Linked DNA regions of Cricetulus griseus. The protein of the gene in region 3 binds, or shares a complex with, the protein of the main gene of each other region. Links are inferred from orthologs where the notes say so. Each region holds a gene or a part of one and is shown on either strand. Other genes may lie near its edges.

The links.
Region 1: Pfdn2 (region 3) and Uxt share a complex: the UniProt entries of both Homo sapiens proteins name them as parts of the PAQosome complex. The link is inferred for Cricetulus griseus from reciprocal best matches to the Homo sapiens genes PFDN2 and UXT.
Region 2: Pfdn2 (region 3) and Asdurf share a complex: the UniProt entries of both Homo sapiens proteins name them as parts of the PAQosome complex. The link is inferred for Cricetulus griseus from reciprocal best matches to the Homo sapiens genes PFDN2 and ASDURF.

Annotation. Positions count from the first base shown.
Region 1 is NC_048604.1:125,813,337-125,817,085, reverse strand, and holds the start of Uxt (protein UXT), read left to right. Parts: upstream 1-995; 5' UTR 996-1,089; exon of another isoform or gene 1,090-1,266; 5' UTR 1,267-1,276; coding exon 1,277-1,374; intron 1,375-3,146; coding exon 3,147-3,228; intron 3,229-3,366; coding exon 3,367-3,434; intron 3,435-3,702; coding exon 3,703-3,749. UniProt on the Homo sapiens protein: Involved in gene transcription regulation. Acts in concert with the corepressor URI1 to regulate androgen receptor AR-mediated transcription. Together with URI1, associates with chromatin to the NKX3-1 promoter region.
Region 2 is NC_048595.1:402,524,958-402,528,706, forward strand, and holds the start of Asdurf (ASNSD1 upstream open reading frame protein), read left to right. Parts: upstream 1-1,554; 5' UTR 1,555-1,662; coding exon 1,663-1,752; intron 1,753-3,374; coding exon 3,375-3,428; intron 3,429-3,749.
Region 3 is NC_048598.1:21,547,980-21,551,728, forward strand, and holds the start of Pfdn2 (prefoldin subunit 2), read right to left. Parts: upstream 2,674-3,749; 5' UTR 2,619-2,673; coding exon 2,544-2,618; intron 1-2,543. Other genes in the region: Nit1 (deaminated glutathione amidase), read left to right, coding at 3,114-3,115, 3,328-3,423. UniProt on the Homo sapiens protein: Binds specifically to cytosolic chaperonin (c-CPN) and transfers target proteins to it. Binds to nascent polypeptide chain and promotes folding in an environment in which there are many competing pathways for nonnative proteins.

The DNA.
Region 1 (3,749 bases), on a different chromosome or scaffold from region 3:
CTCTGGAGACCAGGCTGGCCTCGAACTCACAGAGATCCGCCTGCCTCTGCCTCCCAAGTGCTGGGATTTAAGGCGTGCACCACCAACGCCCGGCGTATGTGTTTATAAAATAAGCAATATTCAAATTTACCAATTGCCACAGGATATACTGCCCTCTTTATAGATTAGTACCATAATCCTTACTAGTCTATAGGCAATCTTGTGCTTTTTAAATTATCAAATGCTTATGTGAACTCAGTGAGGTTTGTTTGTTTGTTTGTTTTGCTAAAGAGGACTTGAAGGTGGAAGGGAAATGAGGTAGGAGGGGTCTGGGTGGAGTTGGAAGGAGGGAGTAGGGAGTGGATATGGCAAAAATACATTGCATACATGTTATGAAATTCTCAAAGAATAGAAATGATTTTAAAAGAAAAAAAAAAAGGTGGGGACTACATAGATGGATCTATGGTTAACAGCACTGGCTATTCTTGTAGACGCCCCAGGTTCGATTCCCAATGCTCACAAATATTCAGTAGCTCCAGCTCCAGGGGATCCGACGCCCTCTTTTAGCCTCCACGGGAACTGCACGTACATAGTGCACACGCATGCAGACAAAAAAGATAAAATAAGAAAAAAAAAACAATTAAGACCGGCGAGAAGGCTACAGAAATGGTTCGGCATTTAAGAGCACAAAAGGTTCTTGCAGGGGATGTGAACTCCGTTACTACCACCCACATCATGGGAGCTCACAACTGCATTTAACTCCAGTACCGCTGCCGCGCTCGCTCAAACATGCGCGCGCGATTCAAACAAGCTGTAAACGATTTACTCCCTCTCCCTACCTTCCTGTGCGTCCAACCTCCCTCAGAACCCGGCAAAGCTCATTAGACTTCACCCGAAACAGCTACCCGCGGCTGTCAACCACTAGCCGGCTAGCAGACAGCCCGCCCTCTGACTTCCTAGTATTCTCCAGGGTTTCCTTAAGATCCCGCCTCAGCGCTCCACTTTCAGGCGGTCTCCTCTCATTCTGGACCGCCCCTCCATGCTGGAAACACGTCATCCACCCGCGCCACCCGGAAACCGCGGTTCATTCTAACCTTAGGTGGCCCTAAGGTAAGCACGGCGCTTGGGTACCGGTGAGTGACTGCGTGTTAGAGTCGGGTTGGGCAGAAGGAGGAACCCCGTAGCATGAGCCGAAAGAAGTCATACCCAACGTTAAGAGGTTGGAGAGAACTTTGTGAAGTTAAACAGGAGCACTCAACGTGGTTTTTCTCCCTCCTCACTCCCCAGGAAGCCTATCATGGCGACACCCCCGAAACGGCGGGCCTTGGATACTGTAGGAGAGAAAGTGCTGCGGTACGAGGCCTTTATCAGTGACGTACTGCAGCGAGACTTGCAGTGAGTGACAACGCAGATTCTAGGCGTGACATTTGAGAAATTCCACGTGGTGGGTGGGACAGAATCCCGGGAAAACTTTCGGATTGGCCGGGAAGAGGGGTTGACGTCCGGGCTGCGATTTGGTTGGAACTTGGCCCTTGTAGTGGAGCCTCTGGCGTCGTTCGTCGGATTAAAATAGTCATAAAAACCCACGACATTTCTGACTGGGCCATTTAGCCATTACTTATGAAAAAGTTGTACATCACCTCTCCTCTCTGTGCTTTATAAACTTTGCTCATCTGTGGAATGGGAAAGTTTATGGAGCCTTCTTAATGTGGTGGTTTTGAGTTTTAAATGTGTCTACCCAGGTAAAGAATGTAACCCAAAGCCTAGACTGATAACACAGGACTGTAATTCCAGCACGAAGGAGGCAGAAGCAAGAGGATCTTCGAAGTTGGAGACCAGCCTGGAATATAAACTTGACTGTCTCTAAAAGGGGGAAAAAATTAGAATGAAGCCAGGCTCAGGCTCTGTGGTGCATGTCAGTAGTCCTATCTAGTGGAGAGGTGGAAAAATTCATTTCTTTAGCCAGGATGTTCAAGCCAGCCTTAACAGTAGAACATGGTTTTGATAAAATAAAGCCCAGTGTTGTGACACAGGCTTGTAATCCCTGTACTTGGGATGGGTGAATCAGGACGATCCAGAGCTCAAGATCATCCTCAGCTATATTTCAAAGATGAGTACAGCCTAGGCTCTGAGACTGTGTCTCAAAAAAAGAAGACAATGGAGCCAGCAAGATGGATTGCCTTGCTTCCATGTCCTGAGCTAGCTCTCTGGGATCCACATAGTGAAAACAAAAAAACTCCCAAAAGCTGTCCTATGACTCACATGGGTGTACCACGGCACCCATACATGTACACAAAATAAATACATTAAGTAAGAATACTTTTTAAAACTTTACATAAACCCAACTATACTACAGTTGTATTAAGGCTGAGAGGAAAGAACTGTCTTGTGTACTCACAAGTAGCCTGGGAAACTCAGTTCTTGTCTCAGAAAATAAAAAACAAATAACCTGGATAGTTTTGAAAAGGAATTTAGCTCCGGTGGATGAAACATACTAAAAACTCAATAATTAGATGATTAGTATTGCTGTCATTATTAATGTGAACAGAAAGTTTGGAACTAGAGCAGTGTGAGCATGGAAGGTATGTGTAGGGTGAAGATGGAGCATTTTAATTGGCATAAGGCACTGAGTACAATGCAGTATTTGTAATAGTGATGGATAGAAAGGATACAGTGTTTACCATTTGGCTGGCATTTTATAGTAAACACTTGAGTCTAATGGTTCCTATGAGGTAATACTGTCATCTCTATTTTATATGTTGTGAAACTAAGTCCCAAATAGGTTTCCTAATGCCAAAGTCACATTGCTAGTAAGAGTTAGAGCTCAGGATGAAATACAGTCTGACTTGTATTTATTGAAATACTTGGTGTGTCTTTCTCTGTCTATACTATGCGCTCGCTCGCTCTCATGTCTCCGTGTGTGTGTGTGTGTGTGTGTGTGTGTGTGTGTGTGTGTGTGTGTGTGTGTGTGTGTGTGTAACACAGGATCTCACTATGTAACCCAGGCTGGTCTTGAACTCATAATCTTCCTGCCTCAGTCTTTCAATTACTGGGATTACACTCGTGAACTACCATAATTGGCTTAAAATGCCTTTTAGGCCATGATGTGAGATATCTCAAGAGGAATAGGGCTGCCTAATGATCACTCTTCTATTTCCACGTATCAGAAAGGTGCTGGATCATCGAGACAAGGTATATGAGCAGCTGTCTGTATACCTTCAACTGAGAAATGTAATTGAGCGACTCCAGGTAAAGGCTTTTAAATTGGGTATCAGTTTGTATATGTGTACAAAGAAGGAAGATGGGAAGAGAAACCCCAAAACAAAACCTTTTTCCTGCCTTAAAAATTGGCCACTGACACCTACTTCTTTTCTCCTGGCCCTACAGGAAACTAAGCACTCGGAGTTATATATGCAGGTGGATTTGGGCTGTAACTTCTTCGTTGACACAATGGTGTGAGTGTATTCCCTCCCCTCCGAGTTTCTTCCTTCTTTCATGCAACAAGTATTTCTTAATATGTTCTATATACCAGACTCTGGTCACTTTTATATTGCACTAGGATGTAAGCTACATGCTGTGGGTGTGAAGTGAATGAACATGAAATACCGGCCCTTACAGAGCCTTAACTTTAGGGAACTGGAGGGAATAGGAAACACCTTCAACTATACAATGTGCTAAATGGTAATAAAGACTTCCTCCACTTCCTCTGACTTCTTTCCTCAGCCCAGATACTTCCCGCATCTATGTGGCCTTGGGATATGGTTTTTTCC
Region 2 (3,749 bases), on a different chromosome or scaffold from region 3:
TTAGGGCTAAACTTAAAATTTGGAGAAAGGACCCCTGACTCCACAGGATGAGGCCCTAAGAGTGGCTTTAAGGTGTACCATGGGAGAGATAGCCAGACCCTTAAGCACAGATACCAGATGCTAGCTGAAGCCGTCTGACTGGACTCAGCATCTGCCCGGGATCCCTTGCCCTCTGGGGCCAGAGTACCGCAGCGTCCATGCTTCAAGTGTGGTCAGAAAGGACACTGGGCCCGGGGTTGCCCGAACCCCCATGCACCAAGCAAGCCATGTCCTAGATGCCAGGAAGTAGGCCATTGGTCAGTGGTCTGTCCCCGTGTCCCAGGTGACAAGAGGACATCAAACACAGACGGCCTTCCAGTTGATCTCTTAGCCCTGGCTATGGATGAGGACTATGAATGACAGGGCCCAGGCTCTCTTGACCCGACCACCATCATCTCTGAAAGGGAGCCCCGGGTGGACATTAAAGTATCAGGGCGGTTTATCTCTTTCCTTTTGGACACTGGTGCCACATACTCAGTCCTAAAGGAGTTTTGGGGACCCACCTCTCTGTCTCGTCTTCCTATTGTCAGGGTAGGAGGACAGCCTTACTTACCTCAGCAGACTCCACCGCTTAGCTGTATTTTTAGGGGGATTCCCCTTACTCATTCATTTTTGGTTATACCGACTTGTCCTGTGCCTTTACTAGGGAGGGACCTTCTAGCTAAGGTAGGAGCTTCTATTTCTTTTGCTCCCCACATTCGCCCAACTCCAGACTCGCCAGCGGCTCCCCTCCTCCTCCTCCTAGCTACTCACCCTACAGGTTCCAGTACGTCATTTCCTTTACCAGCCTCTCAGGTAGACCCCAAGGTCTACCAGAACCCTTCTGTGGCTAGACACCATCCCCCCTTGTCATTCAGTTACAGGACCCCTCTAGGTACGTTGCTCAAGTTCAGTACCCACTCCCACTCCAGAGCCTTAAGGGACTTAAACCTATTATCTCTGACCTCCTAAGGAAAAAGCTACTTCGTCCTACCTCCTCCCCCTTTAACACCCCTATACTGGCAGTAAAAAAACCTAATGGGACTTTTTGTCTGGTTCAGGACCTCCGTAACTCTATGGTAGTGCCCCTCCATCCTGTGGTTCCTAACCCTTACACACTCCTCTCTACTATCCCCCCGACATCTCACTTCTCAGTTTTAGACCTTAAGGATGCCTTTTTCTCTATACCCCTCCACACCTGGTCTCAAAATATCTTTGCTTTCACCTGGACTGATCCAGATACTCATGTCTCCACTCAGCTCACCTGAACCTTTTAATAATAATAATAATAATAATAATTATTATTATTATTATTATTATTATTATTATTATTATTATTATTATACATCGGATCCGCTAGGGGACGACACAGAGCCTTCATAAACTCCGCAACCAGGCAATTGTGCCTTTAGTTCAAACCAGTTTGCGCATGCCCATAACTATGTCTAGTCTCCCACCCATACTCCCCCAACCGCCCTCTACTGCGCAGGGGTGAGTGTGCGTACTCCATTGGTCGGGATGCCGGAAGGGGCGGGTCCACTGAGAGCTCGCACGCCGGATCAGGGCTTCCTGTCCTCGGTTCCGTCCCGGCGGCTCACCGGCGTGCATCCCCGTGGGCTCACCGGCGTGCGACCCGGCGTGGAGATGCCCCGAAGTGGGGTACGAGCAGACTATCGCGCCGCGCCGGTGCCCCCCTACAAGTCGGATGCACGCACGGAGGCCCTTAACAGCAAGGTGCGGTGGGTGGCCGGGGAGCGCCTTCCGGCTGGGGTTCCCGGCGGCGCCCGGCAGCCCGGCGGCGTGCTCCTCGCTTCCGTAGTCGGTTCTTGGCACCCGCCTCAGGCTGCCCCTCCTTCCTGCAGACTTGCAGAGAGGGAGGCACAGAAGCTTGTCCCCCAAAAAGGGGGGGGGGGAGAGACACTGGCGGAGGTTTGGTGGGGCTGTCCCCTTACCGTCCCCCTTCCCTTCACGCGGATCTGTTGCTCTGTGGATCTGCTTCACCCTGTTAGCTACGCACCCGCCTGGGGGCCATCCTTGACATCCATCCCGAAAGTTTAGAAATCTGCCAGTGTCCTTCCAGACGCTGTCACTGGCTGTTCTGACTCAGGGTGTCCCCAGCTGCCTGTGTCCTCCACTGTGATCCTAAAATACATTTATCTGATGGTCTCTAAGTAGGACTCTTGCAAGTTAATCTTTGTCTGCCTCCCTCCCCTTTTCTCTTCCTTCCTTCCTTCCTTTCTTCCTTCCTTCCTTCCTTCCTTCCTTCCTTCCTTCCTTCCTTCCTTCCTCCCTCTCTCCCTCCCTCCCTTTCTTCCTTCCTTTCTTCCTTCCTGAGCTTTCGTGTCTCTCAGGCCAGGCGCAAACACTGTTGTTTGAGAGGGGAGCATGACCTTATTCTCTTGCCTGACAGCCATGATTTCAGGGTTGCACCACCTTGCTGAACTATACCATTAATCTTAACTTCCAATTACAGACAGTCTTTAAACATGTATAGTGGAGAGTATTAAACGTTTTAAATTCTACATTTTTTTTTTTCTGTCCCAAGTGACATCTTGGGTTAGTGACCTTATTCCCACTGTATCACAGTTTTCTTTGGTGTCAGCTAAAGTGAGATGTCTACCTGTCTTTCCTAAAATGAACATAAAACACCATACAAGCAGACTTGAGTCTCAAGGAAGATGAACTCGTGTGGCTTTGTAGTTCATCACTATAACTCTCACCTCTGCCATCGTGGAGACATAAGGATGCATACTCACTAGGGCGGGTGTGAGTTTTAAAAAAGACCTTGCTTCTTATTACTGTGTGTGATGGTGTGTGGTTACTTAAATTAGTTATTGCCTAGTTAGGCATTCATTTGATGGTCACAAACAAGCCTAGCTTAATGATAACAGCAGTATGCAGTCTTTGCCATGCAAACAGAATGATGCAAAGATGAAAAATGATGCTGTATCTCCCCAGGTAGGGCATCCAATACTATTTATCTGAATGTCTGGCTATCATCTAGTACATACATGAAAAGTAATTGTTGTTGGGGAAGGGGAGAAACACATTCATTTTCTTTTTTTAAAAAGTGTACAACAAAACTTTATAAAACTAATTAAAGGGTGGGTATTGATTTTGGTGAACAGTGGCTCACTTTGGTTAAGGTATAAGCCATGTGGTAACTGGCAGCTGGCAAGTCTAAGTCAGCTTTTCCTTCTCCAGCTGTTTTCCACGGAGTCCAGCTGGGTGTTGTTGCCCTGTAGAGTGTCCATTTAGACAGGTGGTATGTGACAGCCCCCAGTCCCATTATTCAGAATTTCCTCACCAAACATACTTTGAAAACGTCTACTTTAGGTTTTTCTTTATTTTAATAGATTAAAGAACAAAAAATTCTTGTGGATGAACTTTCTAACCTGAAGAAGAATCGGGTAAGTTACTGTTGGAATCCGGAATAGTATACAGTATATTAAAATCAGGAATTAGATCATTTATGCTAAAATTACAAAATTCTAACATACTAATTTAAAACTAAAGTATCCTAGTTTGTTTTTCATGTTTTTCTGCATGTATCAGTAAATCTCAAAGTTGACAGGATTCTTTCCCTATTACATTTTTAACAAAAAAAGAAACAATTACTTCCTTTTCCACAGCAAACTTTAATGCTCCAAGAACTTAACCTATTTAATTCCTTTTTTATGACATGTTCATAAATAAACTGCTGTCTCATGTGTAGTTTTACTGTTAAAAAA
Region 3 (3,749 bases):
AGACTTAAGGCTTGTTTTACACACACACACACACACACACACACACACCCACCCACCCACCCACCCACCCCCACCTACCTTTCTGGCCTACTTCTCTCTTTGCCTGCCTCTGCATTACATGCTGGAAGGAGATGAGCTACTTTTCCCTGCACAAACGACCCTGGAATCTTGAGTTAGTACTGGAACAAATTAAGACTCTGGGGACTATTGGGGCAGAATAATCGTATTTTGCATTGTAAGGGCACAAGTTTTGGGACTAAGGGGTATAAAGCTATGTTTTAGTAGGGTTTGTCCTCTCCAAAACACACATTGAACTTTGACTGTCAAGTGACAGGGATTTTTCTTATCTTTTTGAGACAGAATCTCATGTAACCCACACTCAAATTTACTTTGAGTAGATGAACTTGAACTCCTAATTCTCTTGCCTCTACATCTCTCTCAAATACAGGGACTGGTCTACAGAGCTAGTTCCAGGACAGCCAGGGCTACACAAAGAAACTATGTCCTGAAACAAAATAACAAAAACAAACAAAAAAACTGTTTAGATTATGTGCATGTTTGTGTGTCTGTGTGATAGCATGTGCACTCAAGTGGAGTTGCCTTGGAGGCCAGAACAGGGCGTTGGATTCCCTTGAGCCAAGGTGATGGGGAATTGTGAGACAAGCAACATGGATGGGTGCTGGGAATCAAACTTGGGCCTCTGCAAAAGCCATCTCAAGGGGCCTTTACCAGCATTTATTTGTTTGTTTGTTTGTTTTCTTCAAAACAGGATTTCTCTGTATAGTCTTGGCTGTCCTGAAACTAAACTAGCTCTGCAGACCAAGCTGGCCTTGAACTCAAGAGATCCTCCTGCCTCTGCCTCCCAAGTGCTAAGACAAAATGGTGCACCACCATCACCAAGCCCATAAAATAATTTTTTTTAAAACTCTCATTGTTTTATTTGTCTTTCTGTCATGTTTGTTTTTACAACTGTTTCACTCTGTAGCCCAGGCTTAGCCTGGAATGGACATGGTAATCCAGCCGGATTACAGGTATGAGCCATCACACTCGGCTGTCTTGTATTTCTAGGGATCTTTGACCAAGTTGAAGATAAGGTCTGTTTCATTTACCAGTTTCTCTGTGTTCAGCAGAGCCTAACACAAGACAGACCCTCAATAAAAGTATTAGCCACTATATTGGAGGCTACCTCCAAATTTCAATGCATTTTACTTCTCTTAGAACACTTATTTTCTGCCTCGAAGTAGAATTATGAAAATCCCCCTTTTGTCCCAATAGATATGCTCTTTGATAGGGCAGGTTTTAAACTCTTTATTCGGCTACCTTTACCTGACTGTACTGAGTGTTCAACAATTAATTAACACCCTCCCATGTCCTACACTTCAGGGCTCTCCCATTTGGCCCACTAAGCTATATCCCTAGCCTCAATTCTTTTCATTTCAATTGTGTGGTTTTTTTTTCCTTCTACTATCGATTAAATACTAGTCCCACGATTAACAAGGCACGGTTCTCATACCACAAAGGGCTTTCTGATTAGTCAGACATATCCCGATGTATTGGGGTGGGGGCAAACTTAGATTAGAAAAGGGTTTCCGGTCTCTTCTAAAAAGTCAATCTCCACTCCGAGAACACAGTGAGCGAGTTCGAGGCCAACCTGGGCTACTTAGTGAGATCATGTCTCAAAAGACCAAACAATCCTGGCCCGGCTTAGTGACACAGGCTATTAATCTCAGAATTCGAGAGGCAGGAGCAGGGACAAGCGGATCTCTTGAGTTCCAGGCCAGCCTGGTCTACACTGTGTATTTCAGAAAAGTCAAGACTGCATAGAGCGACCCCGTCGCAACTTCCACCCCCGACCCCAAGGCCAACCAACCATCAAACAAACCAAACTAAACCACAAAGCCAATCTACTAAAGACTCCTTAGTTAAAATAGTTACAGAAGGCCGGGCGTTGGTGGCTCACACCTTTAATCCCAGCACTCGGGAGGCAGAGGCAGGCGGATCTCTGTGAGTTCGAGGCCAGACTGGTCTCCAGAGCGAGTGCCAGGATAGGCTCCAAAGCTACAGAGAAACCCTGTCCCGAAAAACCAGAAAAAAAATAGTTACAGAAGACTGAAGCGGTCGAGTCTGAGTCACGTGGTTTTGCAGCGCGTGGGCGATGGTGAGCGCGGTTTTAGAGTCACAGACTAAACAATTCCCCGACTAATAACCTCTGGGGTTCGTTACTAGATGCAACGCCGAAGCAGGCCCGCCTCCCAGTAGCTCGGAGACGGGGGAAACGACGACCCCATCACCTTGGGGCCCTGGACACCCTCCCAGCTCCCGCAGCTCAGGGCTTTCCCACTGGGCTCCCGCTGCAGCCTGCGGACGTGGCTCTCCTCTGCACACCCACCTCCGCATGCCCTAGCAGGGGTCGTGATCGCCTCCCTCCGCGAGTGCGACACGGAGAACGTGGAAAGGGCTGAGGGCCGGTACAAGCCACAGACCCCGTTTCCTGCACGAACTCGACACCGGCCGAGCTGCCCTCGGCGCTCGCGGATGCTCACCTGTTCGGCCGACACCGCCCCCTTCCCGGTGCTGCTCCCGCTGCTCTTGCTCACACGACCGCTGCTGTCCGCCATCTTCGCCACCTGCGAGCTTTCCGGCCTGCGCACTCCCACTGCGTCACATCCGGTCTGGTAGTTACCACCCACTTGCCCCTGCGCTTCTGGCTCCAGGAAGCTCCTCTGGTCGACCCTGCGAATGGTTTTGGCGGTGGCTTCATGTAGGACCTACTCCCCAACCCTGCCCGCTGCGGTGAATTCCACCTACGGTGCTTTAACTTGTGCAACAGAGATTCTTGCCCCAGGGAGAGGCGGGGAAGGGCGCGCTAATCAGAGGGCGGGGTCCAGGGTTGGGATCTGGTCCGGAGCCCCCTGCCCACCTCGAGATGGTGGCGATCTAGGGAGAGTGAACTTGCCTTTCGAGATACTGCTGTAAGGGGAGAGATACGCGTTGAGCCTATAAAGCTGTGCAGGTGGCACAGCCGAGAAGAGAGAATTGGGGAAGCGAGGAAGGTTCCATGAGATGACTTGAACCGCGGAAACGTTTGGCAGAGGAAAGGGGCTTCAGTTTTAATGTGAGATCACTGGAAGTTGAGGTATTGAGGCTCGGATCAGTCTCCTCTCCCATGTTTCCCTTTTACGACCTCTTTCCACAGCTAATCGTGTGGGGGGATGTTTTTGAAGCCTTGGGGGAGGGGATTACTGGCCAGGCCTGGAAATGACAGAGAATTCTAGAAACATACTACTTGAAGGAAGGTTAGGTGTCCTGATTTTTCACCCTCTTCAGGCTGGGCTTCATCACCAGGCCTCCTCGCCAACTCCTGTCCCTTTTGTGTACCGGAAACAGATTGCCTCGAATCTCGGTACTTTGTACTCAGCCCAGGTAACATATTTTCTTGTTCTCTGCCTGGCACATTGCCGCTCAATCCGTGTTTATAACTGCAGTGTGGGGAGACAAAGTTGTCTGCCACCCACCAAACATTTAATAAGTGAACACCAGTAGCTCTGGGGTTATTATGCTCTGAAAGAATGGAAAGAAGTCACTAGGGATGGTGGGACACACCTGTAATCTCAGCACTTGGGAAGCAGGCAGCAGTTTAAGGTCATCCTCAGCTACATAACAAGACCTGGCTGGGCTACAAAACACCCTGTCTCAAAAAAGAAAAACATCTAGGTCTGTGGCCCCATCCCACTTGAGCCTCTGGGTTT